Linked DNA regions of Daphnia pulex. The protein of the gene in region 1 purifies or fractionates together with the protein of each later gene. This does not show direct contact. Links are inferred from orthologs where the notes say so. Each region holds a gene or a part of one and is shown in the gene's direction. Other genes may lie near its edges. The genes, in order: NAD-dependent protein deacetylase sirtuin-1-like, ATP-dependent DNA helicase Q4-like and DNA (cytosine-5)-methyltransferase 1-like.

Evidence for each region.
Region 2: the proteins of NAD-dependent protein deacetylase sirtuin-1-like (region 1) and ATP-dependent DNA helicase Q4-like purify together in Homo sapiens (affinity purification with mass spectrometry; 3 studies listed by BioGRID). This does not show direct contact. The link is inferred for Daphnia pulex from reciprocal best matches to the Homo sapiens genes SIRT1 and RECQL4.
Region 3: the proteins of NAD-dependent protein deacetylase sirtuin-1-like (region 1) and DNA (cytosine-5)-methyltransferase 1-like purify together in Homo sapiens (affinity purification with western blotting; 3 studies listed by BioGRID and IntAct, with this or other methods). This does not show direct contact. The link is inferred for Daphnia pulex from reciprocal best matches to the Homo sapiens genes SIRT1 and DNMT1.

What each region holds. Positions count from the first base shown.
Region 1 is NC_060021.1:10,714,513-10,718,193, reverse strand, and holds the start of NAD-dependent protein deacetylase sirtuin-1-like, read left to right. Parts: upstream 1-755; 5' UTR 756-841; coding exon 842-944; intron 945-1,277; coding exon 1,278-1,401; intron 1,402-1,474; coding exon 1,475-1,736; intron 1,737-1,796; coding exon 1,797-1,919; intron 1,920-1,983; coding exon 1,984-2,177; intron 2,178-2,235; coding exon 2,236-2,654; intron 2,655-2,724; coding exon 2,725-2,842; intron 2,843-2,906; coding exon 2,907-3,178; intron 3,179-3,242; coding exon 3,243-3,433; 3' UTR 3,434-3,681. UniProt on the Homo sapiens protein: NAD-dependent protein deacetylase that links transcriptional regulation directly to intracellular energetics and participates in the coordination of several separated cellular functions such as cell cycle, response to DNA damage, metabolism, apoptosis and autophagy.
Region 2 is NC_060025.1:8,764,400-8,766,704, forward strand, and holds the end of ATP-dependent DNA helicase Q4-like, read left to right. Parts: coding exon 1-398; intron 399-460; coding exon 461-1,501; 3' UTR 1,502-1,761; downstream 1,762-2,305. Other genes in the region: uncharacterized protein LOC124203353, read right to left, coding at 1,803-2,001, 2,063-2,305. UniProt on the Homo sapiens protein: An ATP-dependent DNA helicase which unwinds dsDNA with a 3'-overhang in a 3'-5' direction. Does not unwind more than 18 bp of dsDNA. May modulate chromosome segregation. The N-terminal domain (residues 1-54) binds DNA Y-shaped DNA better than ss- or dsDNA.
Region 3 is NC_060019.1:5,827,883-5,831,619, reverse strand, and holds the start of DNA (cytosine-5)-methyltransferase 1-like, read left to right. Parts: upstream 1-822; 5' UTR 823-992; intron 993-1,113; 5' UTR 1,114-1,131; coding exon 1,132-1,541; intron 1,542-1,604; coding exon 1,605-1,963; intron 1,964-2,027; coding exon 2,028-3,641; intron 3,642-3,705; coding exon 3,706-3,737. UniProt on the Homo sapiens protein: Methylates CpG residues. Preferentially methylates hemimethylated DNA. Associates with DNA replication sites in S phase maintaining the methylation pattern in the newly synthesized strand, that is essential for epigenetic inheritance.

The sequences.
Region 1 (3,681 bases):
GTCTGAAATTCGCACGAACGACTTGAGTTCGGTTATTACGTGTGGGAAAACAATGAATTCACTTACATTGAAAAAAGTAGTAATTCCTTGCTTGTCGGAAGGTAAATCCAGCAACTGAGCTCTGCTGTTGTTTATCAAGCCTGATCGTTCTCGACTGGAGTCAAGTACTTACCGGATCCCGCAGCACTAATAATCCTCACACACACTCAGCGCAATTGTTGTGACGCACGCTTTCAAACAAGAGCGGCCATATCGGGCGGCCCCGTGTGCTATGCCTATCAGATTTAATTAAGTTCGTCAAATCGCTAGACCATGTTTTACAACTTTTGGGGGTATAACGCACCGCGGGCCGGCTCACCCCTATGCGATTTGGTTTTATGGTCCACGAATATTATAAGTCAGTCAAACCTCGGGGTCGCTTCTCTAGTACAAATGCCATACGTGAATTATTTTCCCGATATCGCGTAACCTCATTCGTGATGTTTAGTACATCTTGAACTAATTTTTTTCTCAGTTTAATTTGGTGATACTGCATTTCTGATAAACCTCCTATTAAAAAAAAAATTATAATCAGCAGCTTTCCTCCTTATGCGAAAATCACAATGCCTTATCTGAACCGCAACGTGCGGAAAGTGGACTAAGGTTGATATAAAAGCTCGACAAGGAAAGGCCTTGAATTAATTCCCTTCCTATTTCATGTATACATGTCCTTGCGCATATTTTCTTCCGGTTTCGGGACGAATTCGATTCATACTGGCAACGCTGACCTGCCACCTGGCGGCCCGAAATTTGTGAAGAAGAAGAAGCGCCCTCTACCCCACGATCGACGGAAGACGAAGCAATGGCCGACGAACAAGGCGAGAACTTTCACAGTCCCGTAAAACGAAGCAGAACTTTGCTGCCGATTGACATCTCACAGTCCTTTATTGAGGGCCAACAGCTTTGTAAGTACCCGTTTGATCGATTTCATTCATTTAATGTACTTGTGAACCTAATCAAAATTGTTAGCAAAAGATTGCATTCGGTTTTGAGGTAAATGGCCTTTTGCTTCGTTAGTGCGGCCATTGGCGGATGGGGGGGGGGGAGGGGAGACGCCCTTCTTTTTGGTCGATTGCTGCGTTGCCAAAATTTTGGGGCGGCATGTTTGAATGTCATAACAGTGTGATGACACTTGTCAAATACTGTTTTGGTTTCTTGAGTTGAAATTTCTTGATGGCTGTAGAGTTGATCCATTGTGAGCTTACTTGAAATATTTTTTTTTTTTTTTTAAATTTCAGCAAATGATGCAGGACAACTAGGAAGCTGTGAAATGTTCAACGCTGGGGATTCAGGCTTCAGCGAGTTAACGTCTTTAGCCAGCAGCGAGGATGAAAATCTCACTAATGATTTACCATCTACCAGGTAATGTGGACTAATGTCTTCTTTTTATTGTGTACAAACATATGGTCTAACTTTATTATTTATTTATTTGTAGCTATGCTTTGCCAGCCATTCAAGATGCTGATGATTCAATGGGCAATTTGGAGAAAGATGATGATACCTCCTCAGATAGTGATGTTTCAGACATAAGTGGGTTGAGTGACTTGAGCAATCATGACTGGGAGCCATCATCAGGGACGATGTCTTGGGTGCAACAACAGATGCTTCTTGGTACCAATCCTCGAACCATCCTGAATGAGTTGGTACCAAATGATGCTCAAATCCCCACCCATCTTGACGATGTCACCCTTTGGAAGGTAAAATTATAAATTTGTAGCATTGTCAAGGCAACTAATCATAATTATTGAATAAAACAGATAATCGTGAATATTGTCAGTGAACCTCCAAGGCGGGAACGTTTACGCCACATAAATGCAATATCCGATGCCGTCAGATTACTCCGTAGCTGTAAAAAGATTCTAGTTCTTACAGGAGCAGGGGTAATTTTTTTTTTTTTTTTTATAAAATAATTTACCTCATTATATTTGAACAAATTTTGTTTAGGTTTCTGTTTCCTGTGGTATTCCCGACTTTCGTAGCCGTGATGGAATTTACGCTCGCTTAGCCGTCGACTTCCCTGACTTGCCCGATCCTCAAGCTATGTTTGATATCCATTACTTCCGAAAAGATCCCCGACCGTTCTTTAAATTCGCCCGAGACCTTTGGCCAGGACAGTTTACACCTTCTAAATGCCACAAGTAAACAAATTCTCTTGACAATTTTGAAATTTCGCTAATGAAACGATATTTTGTTTAGGTTCATTCGTTTGCTAGAGAAACAAAACAAGCTTTTGCGCAACTACACGCAAAACATAGATACACTAGAACAACAAGCAGATATCGAAAGGGTTATCCAATGTCATGGCTCGTTTGCTACTGCCACTTGCCTGCGCTGCCAACATCGCGTCCCCTCGAACGAGATAGAAAAAGACATAATGGAACAACGCATTCCACTTTGTCCGAAATGCTCGGATGTGTCGAAAAATGAAGACGAGGCCAGTACATCGTCGTCGGTGGCATTATCGGCCCAGCCGATCATGAAGCCTGACATTGTTTTCTTTGGAGAAGGAATGCCAGACGAATTTCACCGCGCTATGGTACTCGATAAAGAAGAATGTGACCTGATAATCGTGATTGGGTCATCGCTCAAAGTCCGCCCTGTCGCACTCATCCCATGTAAGTTATTTTAAATGTCATCTTGTAACCTTAAAGTTCATATGCAATAAGTTTCTCTTGATTCAAATAGGCGCCCTACCGAATCATGTTCCGCAAATTCTTATCAATCGCGAACCTCTCCGCCACATGGTCTTTGATGTTGAACTGCTTGGGGACTGCGATATTATCGTCAACCAACTGTGTCATTTGTTAGTATACAGTAATTTTCATCAGCCAAATTTGTTGTCTCATCAATCTTCTTGTAACAATCAGACTGGGTACACAATGGAAAGATGACATTTGTTACCGCGAACCTCTAACAGAGATCAGTCGCCTACCACCACGCCCCACTCCTTCTGTCGCCGTACCTGCACCCATTTTCCCCAAAAGAGATCAAGACGATCCTTTACGCCGGGACAGTGGGATGTCTACAGGAAGCTTAGAAATGGAATCAGCCGAGTCTGGTGATGTTGAACCAGTTACTCATGACATGACCGGATGGTGGGAGCCGCGAATCAAAGTGAATCTTGCCGATCAACTCCCAGGTAATTTATTTTTGTTCGGTTGTTGTCTATGTCATCTATATGCATTTCCTTGCATAAAATTCAGAAAACACTTATCTCACCGTCCAACCTGGTCGATACCTGTTTCCTGGTGCTGAACTCTTCTATGACCCAGACGAAGAGGTAGAGTCCGATTCTGACTCATCCTCTGATTCCAGCGATTCGTCTGGAATTGATGGAGGAGATTCAACTCAACCTTTCCCGGAGCATGGAGTAAAAAGGAAAGCGATGGATTGACGACGTATTCCGAAGCAACGACAAAGCTTCTGTTTTTACCATTGTTATGTTAACAATATGGATTCTATTTAAAAGCTTCAAGCGTGTGTATATAGACGAAATCTCTCGATGGTATTTAGTATTTCTTTTTTTTCCTGTATTATGGATAAGGGGAAGTGGAATTTTCATTTTTCTGTGAAATCTTGGCAAGCTGTTCTGAAATGTTCAGTGCAATCTACCTCACCAATCTTCAAGAAATAATGGCCATT
Region 2 (2,305 bases), on another chromosome or scaffold:
GCAGTCGCTTCGCCAACTTTGACGCCATCATTATTTACTGTATCAGACGGGAGGAATGCGAGCGGCTGGCCACTCTACTCCGAACCTATTTGAAAGATCCTGTCAAGGATTTGGAGAGCAAAGGAGGCGGTCGTCGTCGAGGCATATCCTGGAGCGCTGAAGCCTATCACGCAGGATTGACAGCAGCTCGACGAAGTTCTGTGCAGAAACAATTCATGACGGGCAAGATGAAAATAGTCGTGGCCACCGTAGCCTTTGGAATGGGTATCAACAAGTCCGACATCCGGGCCATCATCCACTACAACGCTCCGAAAAATTTCGAAAATTACGTCCAGGAAATCGGTCGAGCTGGACGTGATGGTTTACCTGCTCACTGCCACGTTTTCCTCAACTCGGAGGTAATTTAGTAAATGATCCTGTTTAATTGGATTACGATCCTAATTGTTTTTCTCTTATTCAGGGAAGAGATTTACAAGAATTGAAGAGATTCATTTACGCCAATTCCACTGATCGTCACGTTTTAAGAAAATTGATGAGAAAGATTTTACCGGAACCTTGCGATTGCCGGAAAGAAGACGGTTCCGGCGAATGCAAAGGTCACGAAGTGGCCATGGTTATTGAGTCGACCATTCAAGAGCTGGATATGCCGGAAGAGAATATTGCGACGCTACTCTGCCACTTGGAATCTCACCCGTCTCGCTGGGTCCTTGAAGTGGGTTCAAAAGTTTACGCTACGTGCACTGTCCGGTGCTACGGAGGACTCCTCCAGCTGAAAATGGCCGCCAGAGAGTGTCCGGCTCTAGGTGCAGCCCTTGCCCTACAGAAAGCGGATACGACAGCCGTCCGGACCTTCGCCGTTGTCGACGTTGCCCGCCGAATAGGATGGGAAAGCGGCGCTGTCAAACGTCAGTTGAAATCACTGGAATGGGATCGTTCGGCCGTCGCCATCGGTGGTAAACCGAGACGTTCGGGCATCTTGGTGGAGTTTAGCGACCTGGCGTTCCACCTGCACGTCCGCGGAGATCTTTCAGAGGCTGAGCAAGATGCCGCTTTAGAGTTCATCCATCAGCGCTGCATGAATCGCGAGGCCACTGAAATTCAGCAGCTCCAGCGCATCCATCAAGCGTTGCTCAGTATTTCTCACTCCCAATCAATTTCCTGCTGTGAGACGGTGGACGAGACCAAGAGCGACAAATTGCGGAGTTTCATCAAAGATTATTTCGAAGAAGAAGCTGGAGCTTGTCAACCTGTTGAAGAGGTCGTCCTCTGTCCGGACAATCAAGAGCAATTCATCCGGGCCACCATCCGCAGTTTGATTCTCAATTACCGTGATCAGACTTTCACCGCCCGATCTATCGCCAGGATCCTTCACGGCATCTCCAGTCCGTGTTATCCGGCAGAAATTTGGGGTAAAGCCCGTCAACATTGGCGTGCCCAGCTTCACCAAGATTTTAACCTCCTCGTCCGGATGGGCGCCCAAGAATTGCTAGCTCTAAAATGATGATTGCTATACTTTTTAAAAAAATGAATTTTTAGCTTAATTTTCTCTTTTTTTCTTGTATTGATACATTTTTGAGACGAACATAAAATATTTAATTCCTTAGCCAAATTGTCAATTATTTAAAAAAAAATACCGCCACCCCAATTACTTTGTTCGAGGGACAAACTATTTTTAAAAATGTAAGGGGAAAAATATATAAACTTATTTAGTCATGTGGGTACTAGGCAACCACCATTTTCTATATGTCAAAAGTAGGTACCGTTTAAGTAAAAAAATTTCGTTGGTTATGTTGGCATGTTGGTTAATAGAAATGGTTGTGCGGGCAATCATCACTGTAATCCTGAACTTCGGGCTCTGAGAAGGCAGCAGTTTTATTAAATGAGCTACTGGATCCGATTTTCGAATGAATGCGGAACATTTTCTCCGTTTTAATCTTTTCTCTGCACAGGCGGCAGCTGTACTTTAGAAAGGCCTTGGCGTGAAAGAAGCTGAAGGGCCCACTGAATAAATGAATAAATGATGGGATTATTACAAGAAAAACAAAGACTTTGAAACAACAACCTGTGGGTTCTTTCAAACACTTCTTCTTCTTGGTCGACGGAGGCGTTGTGCTTCCAGAAGTGGCAGTAGGTACGGATGAAGAAGAGCAGGGGGAAGAAGTAGCCCGGGCTGAGGAGCACAAGGAAAGCGAAGAGTAGGCGCCCGACAAACAATAACCTCTCCCGCCCCTCCAGAAAGCGCTCAATTGCACTGTTTCCCACAGGATTCTTGGTCGGTTTGGCGGATGAATCGATTTTGGCAGCA
Region 3 (3,737 bases), on another chromosome or scaffold:
CAACATTCACTGAGTTGCTCCTTAACCTAACTTACACACAACAAAATCTCACGAACGCAACTGTAAAGAGAGAATTCACGCTCTTTACATAATAATAAGTTGCCGTATAACAAATACACACGATTTTTAGCAAAGGAACTTCTCCACTCATTCCACCTTCAAAGACTTTTTACATTTTAGTCTGTACGTGACTCACTACTAGTGGGGTGCGCTGAATTTAGAACAGCAAGTTTGTGAATGGGGTCCATCTTTTTATTGCAAACATGCACGTTTGCTGGAGTCCGCAGTTAACGAGATCGTCAACTTTTTATTTCGGTGCATGGCTAGTAAGGTAAACAGAAGGGAAAAAATTTTTTTTCGTGCGAAATATCTATATTAGTATCGATAAATAAAAGTAGGATACTAAAAAAGAAAGTTGTGAATAATGATCAAGGTTAATGAAGCCATGATTTATCGTTTCGGGAATAATGAGGTCATCATCTTCTATTTGTTGCATACGTTTGAAGTGAACTCATCAAACGTAGGCTATCATCTTCACGGTTTCTGGGATAAATTCCAGAATTTAAACATTCATCTTCTCTCATTTGGGGTAGTTTAAATGCAGTTTAAATACCGCAATTCAAACTCATGTAATTATTGAATTGTGTACTATACGTCGATACACGCATTGAAGGACGCACGGTTCTTACACTTTGTAGAAAGTTTGAATTTAAATTTTTTTATTTCTTATAATCTTATAATCTTATATCATTTTTTCATTTATTCATTTTATTTTAGATTGCGTCTTTTTTTAGAAGGTGGCACCACTGTCTCTGGCACTGTCTTCCATAATCCATAAAAAGGCGCGAAAAACGATCAGCTGAGAGCCATGACTCCATGAGTTAGTTGAATTGGCAGTGCTTTGTCAGTGAGAGATTTTGATTTTACGAATTCATTATTTTAGGTTTTTTTTAAAGAAGTCACGTCGGCCATCAGTGGATAATTTTCAACAAGTAAGTTTAAGTAGAATTATTATTCCCGATACATAAAACATACTAGACAGTTAACAATGTGCTTTAGCATTGTTTTTTTTTACAATAATTGCCTTATTCAAGTGTATTGGTATTTTTATAGGTATATTTGACAACCATAATGAGAATAGAATGCACAGATGGTGATGGGGTTGCAGGAAATGAAGTCAATGTGAAAGAAGAGCCCCCAGAACTTCAAGCTAATAGTGAATCAAGCCCAGACACTACACCCGTTGAAGAAGAAACCAAGCCGATGCCCAAAACAGTTGAAGAAGAAGCCAATAAGCCAACATCTAAACCAGTAACTGTATTGTCAAAGACAAGAGGAGTTAAAGTTAGGTATACATTTGATGAAGCTGCTGCGTCTGGTGAGGGGGACGATGATTTCCTTCCTGGCAACACAAAAAAAAAACGAAGAACTGCCAGCAGGCATGCAAAGGTAGAATTGCCAGATATTGGTGGCTATAGGCCATCAAGGAAGAAGAAAATCAACCGTAAAGATCCTAATCGCTGTCATGTGTGTCGTCAAAGGTAACTTAATCATTATTTTTCTTGTCTGTTATCATAAAATCAATTAATGATTTCATTTCCAAGGTTTGATTCTCCTGATTTGAAATATTTCCCTGGTCCACCAGCAGATTCCATTGAAGAAATTATTGCTCTAACTGATCCATCGTTGAGCTTGTTCACTGGTGAAGAAGAGGTCATGTCAGAATTGGATCAAAGACCCATCTTGAAGCTCACCCAGTTTGGCATTTACGACGAACCTGGCCATTTATGTCATCTAGACGGGGGTGCAATCGAAGCTAACCATTTACTCTTCGCTTATGGTTACGTTAAGCCTGTGTGGAACGATAACCCGGGTGTCGAAGGAGGTATTGCGACGAAAGAGATCGGGCCCATCAACGAGTGGTTCATCAGTGGCTTCGATGGAGGAGAAAAAGCAATCATGTGTATGTTTTAATTTATTAATTAGATGTTTTAAAAATATTCCTGTATTCATTTATCAATTTTCAGGTTTCGCCACTTCTTATGCTGACTACTATTTAATGTCGGCTTCAGAATTGTACGAACCCATCATGAACGAGTTGGAAGAAAAGATTTTTCTGAGCAAGACGGTCATCGAGCTCTTGATCGAAGACGACAACGCCGAATATGAAGATCTACTGACTAGACTGCAGAATTCTTTGATGCCCAATGGTTCCCGCGTATCGGAGGATTCTCTTTTGCGCTACGCCGAATTTGTCTGCGATCGCGTATATCACTTTGATGCAGCTGGAGCCGAAGACGAGCCGCCACTTATTCTTAGCCCGTGTATGCGTACGCTGATTCAATTGTCAGGTATCACACTCGGTAAGAGAAGAGCTACCCGAAAATTGGAGAAGAGACGCCAGCCTAAAGCCAAAAAAGGCCCCAACTGGACAAAAGCTACTACTACGCCATTGGTTGGTTACGTCTTCGAGAGCTTTTTCCGTGATCAAATGGAGCAAGGAGAGGACAAATTCGGCCCTACGTCTGCTCCTCGCCGTACTCGCTGTGGTATTTGCGAAGCCTGCCAGCAAACAGACTGCGGTAAGTGCAATTTCTGTCGAGACATGGTGAAATTTGGCGGTTCCGGTCGCAGCAAACAGAGTTGTGTCCTCCGGAAGTGTCCGAATAGAGCTGTTCAAGTGGCAGACGACGATGACGAACTGGACGCTGTTCTCGACACGGAAATTGAGGTGGTGAGTCTGGATGTCGACCACAAAAAACCTGTCAAGCGCCACGCCTACAAAATTGAATGGGATGGACCGGAATTGAAAGAAGTCGACGATCTCACTTTCTACTCTGCCGCGATTGTCAACGGAGACATGCGCGTCTTTGCCGGAGGCCACGTCACCATCGAACCGGATGATCCTAGCATTCCCATGTATATTGCCGAAGTCATAGCTTTATGGGAAGATGGGAAAAGTGGGGAGCAGTTTCTACACGCCCGCTGGTTTTGCCGTGGAACTGACACTGTGCTGGGAGAAACTTGCGACGATCCCAGAGAACTTGTTCTGATTGAAGATTGCGAAGACCTACTCCTGTCTGCCGTCGTGAAAGTTGTCAACGTCAAGTACAAACCAGTGGATCCCGTCAAATGGAAAGCAGAAGGTGGATCAGATGACCCGTCTTTATTTCAGAGCGAAGAAGATCATTCCGACACGACGTTTTGGTACCGCTATCTCTACCATGGACGGACCGGCCGTTTTGAAGATCCACCCGAATGCCCGGACGTAGTAAACAACATCAAAGGATGTCCCTGCTGTGATCGCCTGGATGTTATCCGCCAACGTGATTTTGCCAAATTGGGCAACAAGTTGGATTCAGGCGGTTTTGACAGCGTCACATGGCACGAATTGGATATCAAAGTCGGTGAAGCCGTTTTCCTCGAACCGGGCGCTTATGCAATGCGGGGGCCAGATGGGAGTATTGTTAAAAAGGAGAAGATTGATCCAGAGGAAGATGATATTTTCGGAGTAGAGTACGACGAAGAATATTACCCAGAAAAGTACAGGAAAACGGACAACATCAAAGGATCGAATAACGACACACCCGACCCATTCTGTATTGGCTATGTCGTTGGTATTGCCTATAATGGCATCCTGCGTAAGTTAATTATTAACAATTAATATTTAATTCATTCGTGTCTAACGTGATTTCTTTATTTTAGACAACAATTTGAATGCTCGTGAAGTCTGTCTA